2 linked regions of the Lepisosteus oculatus genome follow. Each later gene encodes a partner of the first gene's protein in a complex. Links are inferred from orthologs where the notes say so. Each region holds a gene or a part of one and is shown in the gene's direction. Other genes may lie near its edges.

Evidence for each region.
Region 2: ing3 (region 1) and anp32e share a complex: the UniProt entries of both Homo sapiens proteins name them as parts of the SWR1-like complex. The link is inferred for Lepisosteus oculatus from reciprocal best matches to the Homo sapiens genes ING3 and ANP32E.

Annotation. Positions count from the first base shown.
Region 1 is NC_090702.1:40,168,139-40,180,078, reverse strand, and holds the start of ing3 (inhibitor of growth protein 3), read left to right. Parts: upstream 1-7,241; 5' UTR 7,242-7,354; coding exon 7,355-7,382; intron 7,383-7,510; coding exon 7,511-7,582; intron 7,583-9,154; coding exon 9,155-9,255; intron 9,256-11,940. Other genes in the region: tspan12 (tetraspanin-12), read right to left, coding at 266-331. UniProt on the Homo sapiens protein: Component of the NuA4 histone acetyltransferase (HAT) complex which is involved in transcriptional activation of select genes principally by acetylation of nucleosomal histones H4 and H2A.
Region 2 is NC_090722.1:3,723,507-3,734,847, forward strand, and holds the start of anp32e (acidic leucine-rich nuclear phosphoprotein 32 family member E), read left to right. Parts: upstream 1-6,209; 5' UTR 6,210-6,381; coding exon 6,382-6,435; intron 6,436-10,612; coding exon 10,613-10,762; intron 10,763-11,341. UniProt on the Homo sapiens protein: Histone chaperone that specifically mediates the genome-wide removal of histone H2A.Z/H2AZ1 from the nucleosome: removes H2A.Z/H2AZ1 from its normal sites of deposition, especially from enhancer and insulator regions.

The DNA of each region.
Region 1 (11,940 bases):
TTAACTTCCAATGACAGCTGGAAACGGTTCAGGTTATATTTATATGAACGAGGATGTACAATTTGTGTTTTTTTCTTACATTTTGCTCACAGCGTTCATATGCAAGACACAGGGTTATCACTGGGGGGGAGAATTACGTGTGTTCTGGGTGAGAGTATTATCATCATTCTAGTCTGGCTCCAAGAACACGAGTGGTCGTCGTAATCTTTAATCGGTAATGTGAGCACTGTCTCTGCCACCTGCTTCGGCATTCGACTTCTCTTACCCAGAAAAGTAAATTGAGAGCGTAGAGCAAGCAGCGCAGGCACTTCACCGAGTCCTCCCTGGCCATTCTGAAAGCTGCAACCGCTGGACAAATCTCATCATCTTAATTCTCCCGACCATAGCAGCCCCAAAAGACTGCAAAATAAGACCGAAAACAATTAACGAGCTACTTCAGCACGCGAGAAATTACATACAGTACGATTGCAATGCAATGAAACTTTCGAGAGCAGTATTCAAAAAATTGGTAAGGGGTGCATTTCATTTTAATTAGGTTATTAATTTTAAACATACCGTTAAAGGGTTGTCAACTGTCGCTTAAATGTGATTTTCCTTCAACGTCTTCTTAAAAGCAAATTGCCTTCGTGGGAAGATACGATCATTCACAACAACAGGTGTTTTCTTCATAGTTTTGTGACCTACAAAACGTGGGATTCACGGAAGACTGGACACTTCTGATGAAATTCCGGAATCGTTAACTTTGGTTAATTTACTTTAAAAAAAAAACACTGGCTTGCAAAAGTCAAAAAGATATTAACTGCTCACTCCAGAAAGCCATGAATACATATTTATCGAGTTTTGTTTTCGGTTACGCATAGAAAGATATTCGTGAAAAGCATTTAAACGTTATATTTTTGTCTCCAAACGTACAAAACGAGATAACATGACAGCATTCCATCTGTATACTTAGAAAAAAAAACACTAGCAGAAGACGGGAGAGAGCTGTTCGAAACTGTCACTGAAGGCTATCGTTCACTCAGATCCTTTAATTTTACTTGAGAGGCGTGAAGCAGGTCATCTGTCATGTTCTGAGAGAAATCAACCTTCCCCTAAAACACCTATCTTCCCTTCAAGGAGCTCCGTAGACACACCACTGAAAATATTTTTGCGTGCTGTCAATAGGACTTGTGCTTGTAAGGAGTTTCAGTGACTGAACGCGCACACTCTTCACCCTGACAGACTTGTCTCGGTGTTCTTCTGGGTCCTAGAGACACAAGATAGCTAATTGAGGCGACTCATACGCACATCAAGTCGAAAAGCATCCAAGACCGTTGGAGAAAAAGAATGTGGGCGGTAAATCCGCCTCCGAAAGATAGCATTTGTCGGTCAAGGGGTCATATCTGAGAGAGCATTATTGTCTCAACTGAAAGCAAGACGCAAGCTCTTCCACCCCCTTCTTGACAGGAACAGTTTGTAAAATAAAGGACTTTTGGTAGTTAAGGGGGTGCAAAACTAACCTTTTCACCTTTTGTAACCCTCCTCCCTTCCCCGCTTGTATTCCTAATATTGGAGATGTATTTGTCAGCTGGGGTCTGCAACACCGAAAATAACATTTAAAAACTAGCGCACTCGTGATGTAAACGTAACGGATAACACTTTGCGTTTTCTTGTTAGGGGATCTGATATTTGTACTCTGTGTTGTTTTGCTTACTCTGTAATCTATAAGATTTTAATTTCTGAACGTTTTTTAAAACCACTCTGTACATTTTCCAGAGTAGTGTTTCTGAAACCGAAGGATTAAATTGATTGAATGGATACCTTTGATATCAGATTAATGCATTCATAACAGACCTAATCTCAGCGATCATCGGCAAATTACTTCTTTTGCATAAAATGTTTAATCTTGCATGTATTTTCCCTATAAAACATTTCATCGATTTTCTCATAGAAGCACGCCGTTTCTTTAAAAAAGTTGTATTCCTTGTCTATTGGACCAGCTGTCCCCACCTGACCATCTCAGATGTTGCTGAAAAAATGACCATTGCTATGTTATTGAAATATGAACAAATTCCAAACGTGGACTGAATATACATTTCTTTAAAGTCAATGTTTTCCATCCGGTTGGTGCAATAGTTTTTGCTACGTGGAATCTATATTAATTTGCCAAATGTATTCAGAATTTGGTTTTCACAGTGACAGATATATTAAATAATAAAATAATAAGACAATAGATTATTTTATTATTCCAAACATTAAAGACACACAAGAAAAGACGGACATTTTTAGATGAAGCTTATTGTTTTAGAAGGCTTTAGAATTGCCCCCTTCACATTACATATTTCAAAATATATGCATTCTAAAATGCTTGCAGACAAAAACAGACCTAAATTCCTCAGATTACCTATACATTCAACATCACATGGATGAGTGAAGCAAAACAAAGAACAAAATATACTACAATGTCCTTAAAATGAATGCAAAGTTTACATATATTACAAATTCTTTAATTTCTTTTTACAATCAAGATTTTCATTTTCACAAGAGCCATGAGGCTGCTTTATCACATACAGAAGAACTAATTAATTAGCAATGAGCTTGTCAGGAGCATTTTTCTGTCCAACTGATATAAATACTAGCTCCTCCTAAAAAAAAAGTTAATTTTCCCGAGTGAATAACAATGGAGTTTCATGCATCACAGGCCACTGTTTCATAAGAGAGCTGTATGCAGCTACACCATATGTTACATTAGATCGCACACCTCAAAACAATTAAAATTGTGTATACACTGTACAGTAGATATCTGTCACGCCTTCTGGCTGATCCTACTCTGTCATGTCCCTAGTTTCCTGTGCTTTGCTGTCCTTCCGGTATCTCTCTCTCTCTGGGGCTATATATTTCCGGGTCACTCATTCACCTTCGCTCAGCATTGACATTCAGATGTCCTGAGACCCACCTACAGCACCAGGTCACCCCACGTCCACTGCCTGAGGGCATAGGTTTCTATACGACTCCTGAACTGCTAATCCCCTGTTCCGCCGCTAAGCATAAGGGTCTTTTTCCGCTCTCCTGCCTCTCCACAGTTCGTTCCTTACGACATCCGTGACAATATCAGCTTATAGAAATACACATTTGAAGAAGGCCACTCAAATTGAGTGTCATGTTTTTGTGCCCTTGATAAAATAAAGAAAACATTTTAATCACCAGCAAGAAGGGGGTGGTATGCCAATTTACCTTTATATACTCTCCTGTAGTGATTAGCCAGTTTAATGAGGTATTTATGTAGCATCTTTTATCCCAAAGAATCAGAGTGCTTTACACACAGGAGGGAAATCTAATTATCCACCAATGGGTGATGATGGCAGTCATTATGGATCAGCAGAGAAAGTGGAGAATAATAATAAATCCTTACACTTCTATACAGTTTTTCTGGACACTCCACTCAAACAACTTTACAGGTAATGGGGACTCCTCTCCACCACCACCAATGTGCAGCATCCACCTGGATGATGCGACGGCAGCCGTAGTGCTCCAGTACACTCACCACACACCAGCTATTAGTGGGGAGGAGAGCAGAATGATGAAGCCAGTTCATAAATGAGAATTATAAGGAGGCCATGATTGGTAAAGGCCAGGGGGAAATTTAATGATAAATGTCTTGGGGAGAAATAGAAAAAGTTGTAAAAGAACAATTTAACTTTCTAAAACTTTTTTTTTAATCTGTAACAAAAATAATATGGAGAAGTGCCCTTAAGGCTGAGACTGTTATTTTTTAATGCATTAAATGCTTAAAAATGTGGTAATTTTTCTACATGAGCAAAGAAGCACCTGAGAACAGATGCCTGTTTTTCCCTGTCACCATCTGAAACTCAGAGCTTTTGGCAATCATGTAGGATACTTTCAGAAGGTCTTCTCGAACTGACCTTCTTCATGAAAAAAAATCTTAATTTTTTATTAAGGTACCTATTCTTTTGGAATAGGAACAGGCATGAATAATGTTAACACAATTCTGTATTTTTTGTCAGTTTTATTAATTTAATTTCCTTTTTAGTGTAACAGAAGAAGTCATGTCAAAAACAGTTTCCCAACTCTACATGCTTATGAAACACTTGAATGGTGGTTTAAAAAGTTACATCTTGGGCCAAGTACAAAAACAGAGTAAGAGTTAGCACAGGGACCTGAAAGTATGTAACTCGGGGTTTTCCTCCGGACAAAAGTAAAATGATCAGGTGTGGCTGAGGGGTCCAGAAAAACAAAGTTCACACAGAATGAAGTTGATTTCGCTGCTTAAGTATTCTTCCGCGAAAACATGTTTCTTATTTTTTCCTTGTTAGGAGACTGTGTTAGAAGGGCTGTAGCATGTATATTGGCGGGGAGGCTTGAAGTCATAATATAACCCTTGATATAATATCTATAGTATCTGTAACTAATAAAATTGTACAACATTGGGTTGTGGGGGTTCCACGCTTTGCCACCAGAGGGCAGAAGACCGCATGAAATTTCTAGTTAAAAGCACAAAATACTAAATCCTGAAAGACTATTTTTACAGCCTTTAGTTTTTAAACTGACACATTCGGTTCAGAGAAATAATTGTTAAGAGAAAGAAATTAAGTTGTGCTACACTATGTATTGTTTTAGCATTACTGTCACAAACCAAAATATTTTACAGGAATGTTTCGGTTGTTTCGGTTTTCTCGGATATGAGCAAATTATCGTGTTTCTTCTTTCTACTGTTCATTTAGAAATTAACCTTTACTTCTTCCTTTGAGCTTAACGCACACTGACTGTTCCCCCTTCGAACATATGCATGATAACAATACAGATATTCCCCCTAGTTTTCCCTTCTAGCGGCGGCAGTATAGGAAGAGATGCAGGAGAAGGTAACTGCACCTCAGTGATTTAATTTCGCCTTCTGACCGACGAAGGCGTGCTAATCACTGAGAGGAGGTTTAGGAAGCAGGGCATGGAGAGGAGTAACGGCTGCCGCTGCTTATTTTGGAGTAAGGCGAAAGAGGGAGAGAGGGAGAGAGGGGGGCGTTTTTGTAAAGGCAGGGAGAGGGGAAAGGAGGACTCAAGGTCAGGGTTCAGTGGCTCCTAGACACAGCGATAGCAGGGTGTTACACTGCCCCCTACCCAGCTCCCTCGCACCTGGTAAAGTGTGTGGGGGCGGGCTGGGTGCTGGGATATTGCAGCTGTGGACCGGGCCCAGACGATTGGGAAAACGGTAGAAGGCGAGGCGTCTCCTCCTGCGATAGGGCTTTGGGCTGAAGGCAACGGTGCACCTCTCTTGGCGGCTGGAAAGGTTGTTCCTCAAGGCCGCTTGCCACAGCTCTGCGGATACCCCTCGGCCCAGATGGATAGCGTTCTCTGGGCCCGCTGTCATCTCAGGGTCGTCTGGGCTGCAGGCAGTGGGCCGCTGTAGGCTGACACGACTGCTTTTAAAGAAGCGCAGCGCATCGTAAGGCTCTGCTTCCTGTCTTTTCACAGCACTGTACTCCTGGAGCTCGTCCGCCCACCGGGCAGCTTGTCCCTCTGGGTCACTGAAGGACGTAAACCGGCGCAGCGCAGGTTGCTCAGTGCGGATGGTGAACGGGAGACCACACAGGTGGTGCCTGAAGGGCTCCACCACGTCAGTAACACGATAGTGGCGTTTTGCTTTGGTATGGCTCCGTTCACTCCAAATAAATGCTCATGATTTTCTTCAAACGCAATTCATGAACCAAACATTGTGTTATACGAAGGCTGATGAAGGACTATGCCAGTGAAACAAATCATGTTCGTTAAATCCGTTGTTATAAAACGGATTAAATGAAACACATTTGAGGAAGACGAGTACAGATGTCTGTACTATCAAACAATCGACAGGACATTGGTTAAATATAATAGTATATTTTTGGAAATAGTTATTCGAAGGTAATACTAAATGTTTTTTTCCCCCAAAATAATGATACTGATTTAGTTGTTAACGTGGAAGTTCTTTCTCTAAAGTGCCATGTTACCTTATCAATATAACACCTGGACAAATTGCAAAAGTTTTTCAAACATGGAACTTGAAAGCATGCATTCAAAGACTTCAGCGTGGTAAGTATCTTTAATTTTGTATATTTAAAGAGCCCAATTCACATTAAACTCTTGGGAGCACTTACAAATGATAGGAGGCTATACGATATATCTAGTCTATTTGGTAGTTAGGTGTGAACTAAGCTCTGCCTTTTCTTAAAAGAAGTCAGGGTATCAGCTTCAACATGACTGTGTAGCTACAACCCTTTGGGTAAAGAAGCACCCACTCGTCTTGGTTTTAAACATATTTCCATGTAGTGTATCCACTTGTGTCCTCTAGTTTGTGTTTCACTGTTAATTCTGAAGTTCACTGCTTTGACTTTGCCAGTGCCTTTGAGGCTTTTGGATACTTCAATCAGGTTGCCTTATAGTCTATTGTTCAAGATTAAAAAAAAAAGTTAATCTCACTTAGCCGAGGTCTATTTGAAGTAAAATAAGTACAAAAATTAGAAAGAAGTCTCTACCCATTACCCACAGCCACATTTGGAAGCTGTGCTGGTCAGTGCAGAATGTGTACCGGTATGTGTTGAAATTGCTGTGTCACATCATACTGTCCACAAACATGTATACATTAATGACAGTAGTAAAGTCTGGATAAATGTCTGTTTTGCTGTTTAAATATATTTGCTATTTTCCTATTTACTCTCATTCCAAAATATTTAAATCCTGATTATTTCGAGGGGAAGCTGTGAGTGGTAACTGTAATCTCAGCTTCTTTTCTTATCTACCAGTTAAATGACCATCCATTTTCAATAGCCACTTATTCCAGCAAACATATTTGAGGTGAGCTGAAACCTAGCCCAGCCACCAATGGGCTTAAGACATGCAAACATACACATACTAGCATGTCTTTGGAGAGGGGTATCATCCAAACTCCACATAGAAATATACCCTTAAAGTACATCTGTTTATGATTGTAGGTAGATATCTGTTCTAAATGATTAAGGACCACTGCTGTATATAATAAATGTGCGTTTGTGTTTAATAACAAATATGTGTTAAACCAATCAAATATCATTAACATACAAAATTTGACTTGCCCTTTATCTGAGTGGTTCGGTTTCTGAAGCTCTGGCCTGTCATAAAACAACTGAGGTTAGACTACATCCCCCATGATGCTTTGGCATTAAACCATCAGTTTGCGTCATTTTCTCACACGCCCAATCAGATGTGCAGTCATGGGATGCGTCACATAGAATGACCTCCGGCGGGGAGACGTGATTTTTTTTTTTCCTTGAGCTGCTGGTGAAGACGGCGCCATATTGAAAGGCTAAAATTCTTTTACTAAAAGCCTAAAACATACGTTTGAGCCAAAATGCTGTACTTAGAGGACTACCTGGAAAGTGAGTATGGTATTTTGTAAGCGAATTTCGTGTTGGTTAAGGATCATTTAACGTGCGGGATGTGCAGGTGTTGTGTCGTGTAGCTCCCAGACGGCTAGCTAATTTTTTTTTATTCTTCTCTTTGGCAGTGATCGAGCAGCTTCCCATGGATCTGCGCGACAGGTTTACGGAAATGAGAGAAATGGACCTCCAAGTTCAGAGTACGCATTCGCTACAACGTGACCAAGTCAAATACTTGCCTAGCTAATTCATGGCCGTTTTCTCATTTCGGAGTGCTTATTTTTGGTATAGATGGGGCTGTATATTGATCTTTGATCAGATTAGATACAAGACTACGAATATTTACATTTTCCTGAAGATTTCACAGCTTTATTAGCTTAAAATGCACTATTCTGTCTACATCAATCTGCATTGTTTACTTCATTTATCCAGGCAGTGCTCCGTTTATCGGTCACTCATGATGGTAACACTTTCTATTTTGTAATCCGCACACTGTGTTTAAGCATCTTAAAGTGTATTTCAGTGCTGTTGTCCAACAATAGTGCTTCAGACCTGCTTAGAAGATCGTCGTAGCAGAAGCAGATGAAATCTTGCCAAGGAGTTGGAGGAGGAACGTTTCAGCCTGAACAGAATAGAATGAAGGGGCAGAGGGCACATATCTGGGTTGTTACAGGAAACCCTTCACCAGTGCCGTTACCAAGACTTATATAGGCTTTTATTTGTTTCATTGTCCGGGTGATTCCAAATGCCGTTGTTAGTTTTGGCTTGGTAACATGATGGGGAAGTGAAAGACGAGATGAATTTCAAGAGCCGTGTGTGCGGCCTACCGTGAGAAATGGGATGGACCGTTATCGGAAGTCTTTACCGTTTTACATTTTGGTGATGAGAGAGGAGTGAACGAGTGAAGTCCCTAATGCAGCCACACGTGTGACATTAAATATGTCTTAACAGAATATTGTATTGCAAAGGTATCTTGGATTATATGTAAATTACAGTGGAGCTACTTTCTATTAACTATTCTTATTCCTCCTAATATCTAAAATATATATAAAAAATCATTGCCTCAGAATTGTTGCAAATTTGTCACTCACTCCTTGTGTATATGTACTGTATGCCTTTACAGTTTATATGTCTGCCATCTCCCCAAAATAATCCCTTCAACTGTAGACATCCCTGTGCAGATGAACCGTATGAAATCAACCAGCTTTTTAAAGTATTGCCTAAAGAGATTTTCAGACACAGAAGAGTCCTTAGCAGATTGGCTTTATTGTGCAGACAGACTTACAGTATGCAGTCTACAAGGCATTTACAATGTAATTTTTTTTATTTTTTCAGAGATAAGAGATTACTGTTATTAGAAGTGGAGTAAACGCTCAATCATTGCACCAAGCTAGAGAGCAGGCATTTTGTGTTGAGTTTGAAATTTAATTTGTAAAACCATTATAGCCATTTAAAGAAACCTGTACTTGCATTGTGTTCATAGATATATTTTTGCCTTAAATGGAAATTGCTGCTCTTTTGATATGTACTTTTATACACTGACCATTTTCAGTACTCTGGACTCTTGAGTGTGAGTCATGTTTTCTAATGTTTACAGACATTTCAGTTATGGAATTAAAATTCAAATGCATGTTGTGAACAGTATTTAGCTTTAAAGTAAATAAGACCTACAAAATAAGGTCTAGCAAATCTGTTACATATGTTGTTGGAAAGGCTCTCAACCTGTCTTTTTATCCTCCTAATCTGAGGGATTCATTTGTTTTTTGTTGTAGATGCCATGGATCAGCTGGAACAGAGGGTGAATGAATTTTTTATCAATGCAAAGAAGAACAAGCCAGAATGGAGGGAGGAACAAATGGAAGCAATAAAAAAAGTGAGATTAATCGTACACTGCTTTTTTTGTAACTGCATTCAGCATTTCAAGCATTTGATTTGAACTCTTAAGTGTTTTCAAGTTTTTCAATTCTAGATAAATAAAATGTTTTGGCTTCCATTTTTTGCTTTTATATGATCATCAATTTAGTCATTTGCTCCTTTTGCCCAGACAGCCCAGGAGTCTTAAGAACAAACTATTCCATGCTTTGCCAAATTATTTTTAATCCAGCCGAAATTTTCTAACCTGTCCGTTATCAGGATCAGGATCAGGATCTTTTATAAGATCAGTCTTAAAACAATAATATGGACATTTTACATGTTTTTTTATTCAGAATTAATCCTAACTACTGTGTCTACATGATGCATTGTGTACTCTCATCACTGACACATCGTTTCCCAGGTTGACCCTTCTGGTATAAGGCTGAACACAGAGCATAGGTCACTTCCAGCACCACTTTCTTCTACTGCTCTGAAAAACATATTTTGAGCTCTTTACACCAGATTATGCATTGCTGTGTATTGGCCTTGGTTACTAGCTGTTTCCAAATGGCAACATTGTGAATCTCTCGCCACAGTTTTTGTTTAGACTGGGTCACAGAGGTGTAGATTCAGTTCTGTGGTCATTTTTGAGGCCATCATATTGTAGTGGTTAGCAAGTGTCTTTGACTTGCAGCCTCTGTTCCTCTTTCCTGATGCTGTTTTCTCTTGTTTGGTGTATGCTGCCATGCTTTTCCAAACTATTCCCCTTGACATACTAAGTAGTGTAGCTGTTTCTATGCTCCTACAGTTTGGGTACCAACTACTTGACCTCTTTCATTGCTGTTAGATCTCTAAAGTTGCTTTAGTACCTCACATATTAGAAGTGTTGATTTTAAAATGTCCTAACAGCAGAAATATATTGGTAACTAGTACTGAAATTAATATGAAGCTTTTGTAGAATCATTTTTAATTGTGATTTAGTTGCTTAAAAATAGGTTACAGCCATAGTGGGGAGTTAGTAGTAGCCCAGATTGATCTAGATTCTGCAAGAGCTAGACGGATAACCAGCCAGCGGCTAGGTTGACTTTTTAAAAGATGGTTTTCGCTGTACATCTCTAGGAAAGCCTTATCGTGGTTGACCAATGGAATATAATAACAGGGCTGACCCAATGGAGTCTCCAACTTAAGAATTGATTGTTTTTCAATTGGTTGTTTAGGAGGTGATTTGTTTTTCAGATTTGTACCAGATATAACCGAATTACAAGGTTAAGTTCCAAAGTAACTAACGTGAGACAAATCTTATTTTCACAAAGTAGATAGTGTAAATTTGTAATTTATATATATATAAAAAATATTTCCAAATTTGAAGACAAAATTTACAAGCAGTTGAAAGGAAAACTCAATGAGCTTTACATATGTCTTGTCAGGCTGCGATCTTGCTGGTCAAATTGAAGCAATATGCACTGACAACACATGAAAAATTACTTTGGGTATGAGTAAAACCAAATTTGAAAGTAATCTTTTGTAGTGCATGTTCTTTGCATCATAATGTCAATATGCCCTACAAATTGCTTCAACTGACAGCACACTGTGCCATAAATATTTTTAATGTGGCCTGCAACCAGGCACAAGAGAAGTAGGTGTAATTATGTATTTCTTATGTAAAATTTACTGGAAGTTTGGAAGGGATGTCCCTCACCTGTACAACTCTTAACTCCTGAAACTTTCCTGAAAAAATGACAAATATCATAGTCGATCTGCCCCTCACTGTTGTTCGCATTCATCTTTCTGGATCCCTCCACTACCTCATCTCCACTGTTGCAGCTACTCCTTGGTTAACATCTCTCCCTTTATGGGGATCCTAACTTCCTCACCCTATGCCAGTTGGTTGTCTCTCTGCCTAGCAGGTTAAGTCAAAGTTTCTTATGCATTAGGAACAATAGTTGTCTGGATAGAAATTGGCCCAATTATAGTTGGGGCTATAGCTCTTGAAGCCAGTAGAAACCAGGATTGAAATGCAGCATGCTAGGGATGTAATTTCTTACTCTCTTACCATGGTTGATATCCACTTTTGTACTGCTTTAAGAAAACCTCAATTTTGAGGTAAAAATCTGGTCTGTTTTAATTCAGTTCAGTTTCTCTACATTTGGCATTAGATTGTTGCTTTTACTTTATTGGAAAACCATGAGCCCTGTATAGTTTAGATAAGACTTTATTAATCCCGAAGGGTTTGTTGCCATTTGTCACAACAGTTGTGCGTTAATTTGCTTTGTTGCTACAATACTACAGAAGCTGACACTGTTCCTGGAATAAAAATGGAAAACCATTTATTTTAGATCAGAAGAGAAGTATTCCTTTTTAGGGGACATACTTCTCTTTAATATCAATTTATTTTCAAATGTAAGTGCAGTGTTGATATATTTGGCATTACACGTGTTTCTTTTCTCCATTAGAGGGGACCTAAAGTACGGGCAGAGACATTTTCCACACAGAAAATGGAAATAGAATATATTGGAATTATTTTATTAAATGAAGACTTAGTCTTTAAAATGGTTAAGATTTTATCCAATGGATTATGTTCCATCAAATCAAAAGAGATTACAATCAGGCATATTAAAACTGAAGTTTTGAGAATAATTGAGTGTTTTCTCAGTTATAAAGTCGGTGCCTACTTCCGTTCATTAAAATGTCATAGCTGTCAAAC
Region 2 (11,341 bases), on another chromosome or scaffold:
TCCTCCGCAGAAAGACACTGGGTTGGGCGCGGGACGGGACGTCCACTCTCCTCACCAGCATCCCCTTAGTGCCCCCCCCAGTGCTCCCCCAGAGAGGGGGGGTTCTGCTTCTAATTGCCCCCCAACTGCTTCCCAGATCGACGAGCCGCCTCTGTCGTTTGTTCATGGAAAACCCGGTTGAACACCTTCATCCACTCCTGAGCACAGCTGGGTGCGCAGAGATTAATTTGATCCTTCTCGGGGTTTTTTTTTACACAGTTTTTTTTTTTTTGTAATCAGCCTTTTTAAAACAAAATCTCCAGGTTCTGGTAACGCCTCGGTCAGCCTGCCCGAGCGCCCGTGTGAAGTTGCGCGTTTCAGTCCTTCCCATCCAGGACGCGAAACTTGGCCTCCAGACACATGAAATAATCATGATTCATGCTCGCTGTTTCCGTGTTTTTCTTTCTTTCTCTTGGGCTGATGTAACGAGGAGATTTCCAGTTATGACTTTGGCACGGTGTGAAAGAACGCTACAACATAAGAAAGCAATTATATATTTTTAGCCACAAAATAGTTGTGATTTTGAGCGCCACCCTCAATCGAACACACAGGAACATAAGAAAAGGTACCAACGAGAAGAGGCCAGTGGGCCCATCTGGGCATTTTGGTGGTTAATAGTTAATGATTAATCATATAGTATTTATCATTATTATATATGATAATAAAAGTATCAATAATACATTATTAGTAGTATTAATCGAGTGAAGGATCTCGTGATTTGAATTGTGCACTTTTGACTTCATCTCCTAACATTTTGTTTTGTTATTTTTATTGCTTCCCTACATTGTCTAGGCGATGTAAACATTGTGTCGACATAAACACCCAAGTCTCTTTTAATGAGGAGCACTTGTAGTTTGTTTCTGTTACCTGGATGCAAAACCCGACAACTCCCAGATTCATTCAAATGAGGCAAAAAATAAATTACACACCATACAGAGACAAGATCTATATTCTGATACGTTTCTAATGAACGTTTACACCAATTCCTCTCACAGTTAAACAAATATTGAACGGACTTACTTGCCTTTGGTAAGAGATTTAGAGTTGTAAGCCCCTGTATCATGTGTTAGTTAAAATTACTGTCGTATTTGCAGTGGCGCAAGCAGTTGCCGCAGTATGTATGCATGGTAAGCACAGCTAAGCCTAACGGACTGGGTTGGTGTGCCCATGTCTCAGGCTTCTTCTGTAAGGGGATGTTTAAATTATTGACATAAAATTGCTACATCTTTGGGAATCATCCATTTTCTAACCGCTGTGGGGGGGAGCCGGAGCCTATCCTGGCAAGCAACAGGCGCAAAGCAGAAACCATGCTGGACGAGATGCCAGTCCATCACAGGGCACACCCACACACACTCACACCAGGGCCAGTTTGAGACCATTAAGCTCCCAGTATGTGTTTGTAGCGTTGGAGGAGACCAGAGCACCCAGCTGAAACCCCATGCAAAACACCAGTAGTGGGCAGTGCCGGATTTCCCATGAGGCACCTTAGGCACAGCGCCTAGGGCCTCCCAAGGAGGGAAACTCTAGTGACTGAAACAACATGCTGGCGATCGGCTCGAGGTGCTCCAGATCAATAATCAGACGCTGCTCTAGACACTAGCAGTATGGAAGTGATGGTGGCTCGACTCGCTCCCTCAGTCAGGGGGTTTAGCACTGGAATAGTTTACAGGGCGTCACGTCAGTTGGCGTTCACCCCTCTTCACCCCTCGGAGTGAAAGTGCCCAGGGCCTACGAACCCCAGAATCCGGCCCTGGTAGTGGGGACATAAACTCCACACAGACAGCGCCCCAGGAAAGGAACCCACAGCCCCAGCGCTGTACAGCAGCGATGCCACCCTGCCGCCTCTTTACCATTCTTATTCAGAGGTGTTGTTTTTTTCCTCCACGGCTTTTTGTTACCGTTCCTCTGTGCGGGCATTCAGATGCGTGGCCTGTGAATACATCCGTCTCCCCTGTCTTCCATCCACAGTGCGAATGGGTCTAACGGGCCAGCGAGCGGCCCATTGTCTGAGCCCGGGGCAGGGCGCCCGCCTGAAGACAAGGCCGTGAATAACAGACGAGCACCGAGTGCGAGAAACCATCCGCTCCCCGCTGGCGGCCCCAGGGGCTCAGGCTCGGTGAGGAATTTAAATCCAGCAGAGTTGTGCTCAAGCTTTGCAGCAGATGAGCAAGGGCCCATTGAGAAAACAGTAATCCCTTCTGGTCACCATTAGAAAGTCACCACGTACCTACCTTTTGCATTGACTGTGTCGTCATTATCTTGGTCAATTCTTTCATTAACCAGAATGGGATGCATTGAGACCAGTTCAGTTTATTTTGCATGCCAAGTGCAATGAAGTGCTCAGAACCTCAATTCCTGATCCCTAAAATAGCAGGATCCCTAAAGACTGGCAGAGCCTGGGACAGTAGAATGACAGTCCAGCAGAATTTAGAAGTCATGCCTCAATTATAATCTCATGTAAAGACATGGAGCTAATGTCTTTAAAAAAAAAATGATGTAACCTCTTTAATTAAGCTTGCACGGTTGGGTCCTTTAATGAGGTGTCCAATATTTAACTGGGTCTCTACAGCAAACCAATTGGCCCTTACCGATCATGGCCTCTATGAACTGGTTTCATTACTCTGCTCTCCTCCCCACTGATAGCTGGTGAGTGGGGAGCGTTCTGGCGCACTATGGCTGCTGTCGCATCATCCAGGTGGGGCTGCACACTGGTGGGCTCATTGAGAAAACAGTCATCCCTTCTGGTCACCATTAGAAAGAGTAACACGAATGATACTTAGTCGTCTAGGATTGTCATACACAAGATATAGCTCTCTAGTAGTTCAAGTAGCGGGCTACCTCAGTGTGCCTAGCCTGCAAAGGAACAAGTAAAGGTTTATTCCCCGCTGAAAAGGGAAGAAAAGAGACACAACGTTTCGGCTGAGGAGGTTTCTTGGGGCGTCAACAGAAGAAGTTTGTGGCACACCCGAAAAGGGCTCCACGGCCGAAACGTCATGTTTCTTTCCTTCTCTTTTCAGCGGGCACTAGATCTCTTTAGTCAATGACGAAGGGGATTGAGAGAAGAGTTGATCCCAATTGCCACATTTCCGATGGTCATAAATGGTGCCCATCCTTGGCAGTTGAGGATCGAAGAAGTAATTTAGGAAAGAAAACAGCAGGCCCTCTCTTATACCAGGGGCTGTGTCAGCAATGTGTTCCTTCAGAGAATGGCTCAACCGGATCTGCTCTGCTACTCGGTCGCCGCAATGCCTGATGGGAGGAATGGCTTGCTCTTCTGTATGTTCTCAGACAGAAACAAAACCAAGGAAAATGCACAGGGCTGGGCACGCGTGTTTTACAATGTCGTGAGTCTCCCGAACTTCCCCAGCGGAGATTTGTGAAGCCGCATCAGTGTGGTCCTGTCCCCTCTTTCAGATAAAAAGGGCCTGTTCGTGACTGCTCTGCCTCACCACTACCTCAGGCTCGAAGATGTGGAATTTTAATCCGGAGAAGGTGGCCGTGGGCCTCTTTCCTCTCTCGGAAGACCTTGAGGGTTTAAAGGCTCTGTAGTCCAGAGTGGTTCTGTCATGGTCCTGGAGATCAGGTGTGTGCGCACAGGTCTTCCAGTTCTCTTTAAAGCAGCAGTGCAAGCAGAAGCAGTGGATGAAGCTCTAATTGGTTACTAAGCCAATACATCTATTTAGCTTAAGTTAACTGTGACTGGGAGTGGAGCTCCCTCTAGCGGGAGGTCGAGCCGTGGTCCTATCATCTCTATTCCTGCTGGGTGCTGGAACCGCAGGAATCCAGTCACAGGTCGTCCGTCACCTGGTGCTGGCTGCCCCCTGGTGGACAGAAAGTAGGACGTCTTGACTCCACAAGCTACGGCGGTGATGCAGAGCTGCCGGTGAGTTTCACACAAATCCAGGACAATGCGCTTCTGCTCTCATACAAGGAAGGGCTGGAAACTGATCCTTTCAAATTCAGTCATTTCGCCTTGGCAGGCCTGCGGCGTAAACGACTTATACGTTGTATATGGAGATTATAACGCAAGTCTTTGTTAAACGGTGCGCCAATTCCTTCTCTTACACAAACTCTCCGTAATTCCGTGCAGCATTTCTAAGTCCAGAAGAGAGGTATTTTTTTTAAATCTATGATCCCCAAGGGGCGATTAGTTTTGCCAGCAACAGAAAATATAAAGAAAGTCACGCACACGCACATATACAGAAGAATAATATGTTAAGCAAGGTTGTAACCGCGGGTACATACTGTATGAGAACGTGAAGGAGTTTGTTTTGAAATGGGAAAGTCTGTATCTGCGTTCTGAGGGGAGTAACGCCTGTGGTAGCGAAGCTCGGTTCTGCAGAACCACAGATCCAGTCGGTCCCGCTGATCACCCTGACATAATCTCTTGCAAAGACATGGGACACTGGAGCCGTGTAAAGCTTTCTGCATTGTGGCTGGTCACCCCCGTTCGAGTCATCTAGTTTAACAGAACACGTTGTCAATGCGGGGTTTTGAACTGCATCTATAGCACTTCAATATTTTTAAATGGCCATATTGTTCATGTTTTTGTTTTCATTCCCATCGTATTCCACTCAATGTGCTGTCCCAAGAGAGGAAACTCTGAGGAGGCTTAAAAGAGGAGAGGTTTAGGGGAAAGGGTCATTGTGTACGGTGATGGGGACGCTATATTACACTTGGTCTTAGCTGAAAGGCCAAGAAGACACACAAGACTACAGAAACTCACCACTGGCAGCCCCACTGGAGCTCAGCAAGTGTGAGCCTGGCCAGTACCTGGAGGGGAGACTCCTGGGAAAGCTGAGGCTGCTGCTGGAAGAGGTGTTAGTGGGGCCAGTAGGGGGCGCTCACCCTGCGGTCTGTGTGGCGTAAAACCGTGTGGTCTAAAAAGGCGTAAAACCTTTGCATTAGACATAAAACCAAGGTCATTTAAAATCCCAGGGTGTTTCTCAAAAAGAATAGTGTAGTGCTACTCCAGTGTCCTTGATTGTACCAATCATGGCCTCCTAATAATCCCCCATTTGTGATGTGTGGTGAGTACACTTGTGTACTTTGGCTGCTGTTGCATCATCCAGGTGGGGCTGCACACTGGTGGTGGTGCTGGAGGGGATCCCCATGACCTGTAAAGTGCTTTGAGTGGAGTGTCCAGAAAAGCGCTATATAAGTGTAAGGAATTAAATAATTAAACTAACCACTCTGAACTATGACTCGTCAGTCTTGTTTCTCCACCAGCAACGAGACCGTGCTCACCCCTGACTTCTATTCAAAACTGTGTGTAAACAAAACCTGGCATTTTAAAAGCTGGAATCTTTAACCTTCTAATATTGTGTACACCATTGATCAGACCCTCAACTGTCTGGCACACAATTTTAGCTCTAAGGAAAAAGCACTTCTTTTTTTTTTCAGGGAGATTTGGAAGATTTCTTGATCGCTTAAGGACCTGACCGATACAAAAATACCCAGGGTGTGTTGTTTTATTTCTGTTGGGTTTGCTTGTTGCCGTCTGTTGGGAGCCAAGCGCGGAGTTGGACCCGTGCGTCATCTGAAAGCGCCGCGGCGACAGATTTCAGGACCAGATGGCCCGAGCGTGGTCTCCCCGCGCTGGAAACACGAGTTCATGGTCCTTCCCCGATCAGCCATTTTGTCACGGTTCAGCGAGGGAGAAGCGCTGTTTTGTGTTCAAACGGTGGGACAAGCGCTTGTGTACAACAGCTAGCAATGCATTAATTATTAAAGGAGAGGACGGGCATACGGGAAAAGCACTGTTGCAGCATAGGTTATGGAACAATGTAACCTAATTTCTTTTTCTGAAAGCATAATTGTTTACCCCCGCTCATTTCTTGACCTTAACCCCCCCTTGGCCCTGCTAGTATAATGAAAAATAATAGAGGGGGGGCTGACCTCATCTGCAGGTTCTTAACTAAAGGCGCCAATGAACACAAAGAATGGGCGGCCCTCGGGTTTAAAAACCAGGAGACCGACAGCCGCCCTGACCAATCGCAATGTACTGCGCGCGTAATTCTAGCCAATCGTCGCCCCCGTCGGCCCCGATTATGTTAATCGGGGTCGATCTCGTTGAGCGCCAGCCCGCCCGTCCAATAGCGAGGCGCGAAGCGGCCGGGCGCCAATCGCAGGGCGCGGGAGGCGGGGCTTAACGGAGGGGGCTGGGTGCGAGGTATCATGGAGGCTCAGTTAGCGAGCAGCAGCCATTGAAGAAAGCCGAGACGCGGGGGCAGAGCTCTGGAGTTTCTGCAGTTTTTTTTCCCCAATTTAGTTTTCTTTCCCCCCTTTCGTTTGCAACTTTTTTTTATTTTGCTATTTATTTTTTCCAGACAAAAAAAAAAAATGGACATGAAGAAGAGGATCAGTTTGGAACTGAGGAACAGGACTCCGGACGAGGTAGGAGCTTGCCTTTCCCTTTGCCTTTTATTTATTTATTTCTTTAAAGAACCGCCGAGGCAGCTCGGCGGGTGTGATGGTAGCGAATGTGGAATTAGGCATCAGCTCGCCCGACCACATGGGCACCAGCGCGGAGACGCGTCGGAAATTGAACTTGGGGAAAGTTTCGTGCCGTCGGGGAAAGCCGCCCTCCTCGATAACAGACCGCTCTCCCCTCCCTCCCTCCGATTTAATATTTTAACAGCTCCCAGTAATGGCGATGTCGGGTCTTTATAGATGTAGCTGAGATCCGAGATGTTGCGGCCGGGCTCCGGTCCTGCCTGGCGGCGGCTGTGTCCGCGGCAGCTGAGCGGGACCGGACGGGTCGGGCGAGGGGCAGGGTGTCCGGCTGCGGGAGTCCTGTCGCGGCGCAGCCCGGGGAAGTTTTTGGGGGGTGTTTGTGTTTTTGTTTTGCACCCAGATTATTGAATCGGTTCGGGTCGAGCAGCAGCAGCAGCAGCAGGGAACACGCGTTCAAGGAGGAGGGTTAAACCCCTGTTTCTGGGGTGCGGGGTGGGTGGGTTTCGGCTCTGTTTTGTGACCCCTCTGCCTCCCTCAGTCCCCGTTTCGGGGCTCAGTTCGTGGCCGGTATTTCAAAGAGGGGGTCCCCGGGCTGGAGGTCTGTGAGTGGTGACGGGTTGTTGTGGGGGGGGGGTGTCGGCTCCTGTGTGACTGAGCCGACCCGGACCAGATGAGCCCCGGTCCCGCCTCGCACACCTGAAAGTGTGGGGGTGCGTGTGCGTGTTGGGGGGTGCGGGCGGGTATTCTTCAGCTTTCACAACCGAAATCACCCCCACACACACACCACCACATCCTTCATGGGTCGCTGTTTACAAACCGAGACACTGCCGAAGTACGTTTCACATGGAAAAAGACTTGTTTTTGTTGTTTTGCGATCGCGGCGGGCGGGGGTCTCCTAAAAAGTGGGAGCCCCCCTCCTACCCCGTTAAAAAAGGGGGTGGGGGTACCCCGAAGGTTTTTGGCGCCGCTCCTGAACGGGCGGCGCGTTGACCTGTGACTGTCCCAGCGCTGAGGCTGAGTAGTCCGCCCCCGGGCCGGCGCTGGGTTTCGGTTTCGGGGTTTCCGCGGCGGTGAGGGCGGGGGGTGTCCTTGTGGACTCGCGGCTTTATCTCTCGCCGACACCGGCGGGGGGAGGAGGCGGCTACGCCGGTGTTGCTGGCGACGGCCGCATCCCGGCGCTGTCGTGACGGGGGTTGTGGTGGGGGGGGGAGGAGAGTCAAGTCGCTGCCGCCTCACGACGGAGAGAAATGCCTTTCTCTTTCTCGGCGTGTCCTATAGCCCACGCCACGGTTTGTGTGCGTGTGGAGAGGAAAAACCCTGTCGGTGAGACTCGGCTCTCATCCCTGTGGCGTCGGAGCCCCGCAGGCCCGGCCGAGCGGCGCTGTCGTCGGACGCGGTGGCCGCCGAGCTGAATTTGAAGGACTACAGCAGATGGCGAGGTTTAACTCCGACCCCCCCCCCCCGCCCGCCCCCAGCTCAGTACCGTAGAAGTAGATTAAGCGCCCGTTTCCCGAAGCAGTTGAGGCAAAATCTGCAGCGGAATTATTTTTTTGTTTATGTCTCGTATGGTATGAAAACTCGGCTGCGACCCGGTTGTTTTTGTGAGAGCAGCTGCACCTGGGTATCGAAGTGACGGGGGGACACGGGTCATCGGTTTCTCAGTCCTAGGGAGAGAATTTAAGTTGGGTCTTAATTAAGGTCTCGTTTTCTTGATGGTGAAGACGGGACTTCACAACCCTTTCCAGCACTACCGGGGGTACCTCTTGAGTCGAGAGCACTCTGGAGTGCAGCAAACAGCGAAACCTCACCCACGACTTAGCCCGGACTCTTTCTGAGCTTTGTCCCTTTTGGCCGTTACCGTTTAATTCACCAGATAGCCGTGGAAATCCACTGTTCACTGTTGATGATGGTGATGTTCCGAGATCCGAGATGGCGTCTGATCGGTTTTCTGTTTGTTTTTTTTAAACCCAGGTTGGAAACAACCTTGAGTTTATTTTAACCCCACAAGTGGGCTTTAGGGTTTGGTCCTCTACAGACCTCAGTGATCGCCAGGCGAGAGCTTCCCTTCATTTAAGATCAGATCACTTTATTGGCCCTATACAATTTCTCATATTAGGAATTTGTCTTTTCACATACTCCAGCTTGCTCTCCTTGAGACACACAGACGGGGAGAGAAGCTGGGGGTCAGAGCGCAGGGTCAGCCATTTATACAGCACCCCTGGAGCAGTTGGGGTGAAGGGCCTTGCTCAGGGGCCCAACGGGGTAGGATTCCTCTGCCGGCCTCGGGATACGAGCCGGCAACTTCCCAGCCACAGGCGCAGATCCTGAGCCACAGAGCCGCCCCCTACCTGTACCGATTTTTAATTTTTTGCTTTCATGGCGCAGTTCTCGAGTTAGTGGTAGGACACCCACAGAGCCGTCAATCTTGGGGCACTGAAGGAGTCAGCACTACCTCAGAGCACAAACCCAGGATCAGTTCATGCACGTGGGGGTCACCTAAGAGTTCTCAGAGTGATAAAAATACCAGCTGGTGGGAAAACTATACAATTGAGGAACCTGTGGATTCACACGTTGTGATTCCAAGGACTTGAAGTTTTAGTCATCGTTCCATTCAGGTTTGATGGCTTCCTGTGCTGCCTGGACTGGGGCTCTGTGTGAGTACAGTTCGAGCCTCACCTTAGCGTGAGCTCTGTTTTGACTTGCTTTTCTTCCAAGCAACTTTAAAGCTGGTGAGATATACAAAGCTTGCATGTCCTAACTGCTACAAGGCTGTTTTGAAACCTCCTGGGTGTCCATTTACACCAAAAGCGCACTCTAAAAAAAAAAACAACAGTTCTGACTGTTGATCTTCCACTCAAATCTGTTTTGCAAATTAGCAGACGGCTGCCCTCCGAAGCCTTCTCATTGTCTTGTTTCGCACAGCTGTGCTTGAATGGGAGCTGGCTGCCATGTCTGCTCTGCTCAGACGCATTGGAACTACAGATCCCAGCATTCCTGGCGACAGCAGGTCAGCCGAAGGGGGGGAGGTCACAAAGCAGATAATGCTGCCTTTCCCGTCTGAACCTGCCCCTGGCGAAACCAAACCGGCCTGAATTTAAGCAGCTCTGCACCTCGTGTTTGACTCAGTGCTGTGAAAACGATCCAGAGGAGGGGCTAATCTGTGGATTGTTCTTGTTGCAACCAAATGTTGGAGAGAGGCACCGGTGGTCCTGATAAGTGCATTAGCTGAAACTGCTCAGCTCAGCCCACCTTGAGCTTAAGGCAGGAGTAACAGCTGTTGCCGAGATGGCAGAGAAGATTTGGACTCGATATTTCTGCTTCCTCGAGCATCTTCCTGCCTCTGAATCCACTACCCCCCCAAAGCCCCTGGAAAATCTGATATCTCTGGACTTAACAGATCCCTGGCTGTCGCTACAGATGGAGCCCGGCCTTTCATTATTTAACTGGTCTGCCCGGAGAATTTCCTTGTGAGCTCTCGGAAATGTTTATCGTTTTTTTTCGTTAATTAGAAAATTGCTTTCACCCTCCCCCTTGCTTGGTCTTAGGGTACAAAGAGCATGTTCCTAGGCGAGCAGTGGGATTAACTGTTAAATCTGTGGCATAGCACAGTCTCTTAGGTGTTTTTGTCATTTGGCTGATTACGCTTCGTGATATCGCAAGAGTGCCAGATGCAGGTTTGAGCACATTTCCGAGCGGGGGGTTTTGTAGTTGTAAGGTTGATCATCCCCGTTCATCTGTCACAATTCCTGACCCATTCCTAGTGTTGAGTGGTGGGGCTTCGCTCGGTCACTTCAGCACTTCTTCCAGGGCTGAGGTGCTCGGAGTTTGGGTGGGTTTGCCAGGTGCTAATCGGAGGTGTGATCGGTTGAGGCTTTTCTCTGAAGAGTAGGGGGCCGGTTCGTCTCGAATTCTCGCAAATGCCTGCAAAACTCCCGCAGATGGATCCGAAGATCACCTATTTTCACCTATTAACCCAACCCTTCCATCGGAGGCCCGAGCCTCGTTTTTATCCTGGTGTCCGAGACTTTGACCAGTCGTTGGATGCTTGGCTTCTTACCGGCAGTGAGGTTTGAACGGAGGGGCTGAATGTCGTCTCCTCTCCCGTCTCCCTCTCCAGGTGGCTGAGCTGGTGGTGGATAACTGCCGCTCCGGCGATGGCGAGGTGGAAGGTCTCACCGATGACTTCAAGGAGCTGGAGTTCCTCAGCATGGTCAACGTGGGCCTGACCTCCTTGGCCAAACTGCCCTCACTCCCCAAGCTACGCAAGGTGAGTGGGGCCATGGGTGCTCTACATTGCCACCTGCAGGATGTGGACTGGACTGCATTAGTTATCCCAGTAGATGCAACACAGCTCCTTACACTTATATAGCTCTTGTGTGGACACTCCACTCCAAGCGCTTTACAGGTCATGGGGATCCCCTCCAGCACCACCAGTGTGCAGCCCCACCTGGATGATGTGCCAGTCCACTCCCCATACACCAGCTCTCAGTGGGGAGGAGAGCAGAGTGATGGTCAGTTCTTAAATGGGGATGATTAGGAGGCCATGATTGGTAAAGGACAGGAGGGAATTTATCCAGGACCCAGTGGTAACACCCCTACTTTTTTCGAGGAATGCCCTGGGATTTTTAATGACCACAGAAGGTCAGGACCTCAGTTTTGTCTCGTATCGGAAGGATGGCACCTTTTGTACAGTATTGTCCCTGTCGCTATACTGGGGCATCAGGACACACATAGACTGCAGGAGAGCGCCCCCTACTGACCCCACTAGCACCTCTTCCAAGAGCAGCCTTAGCTTTACCAGGAGTCTCCCATCCAGGTACTGGCCAGGCTCACACCTGCTTAACTG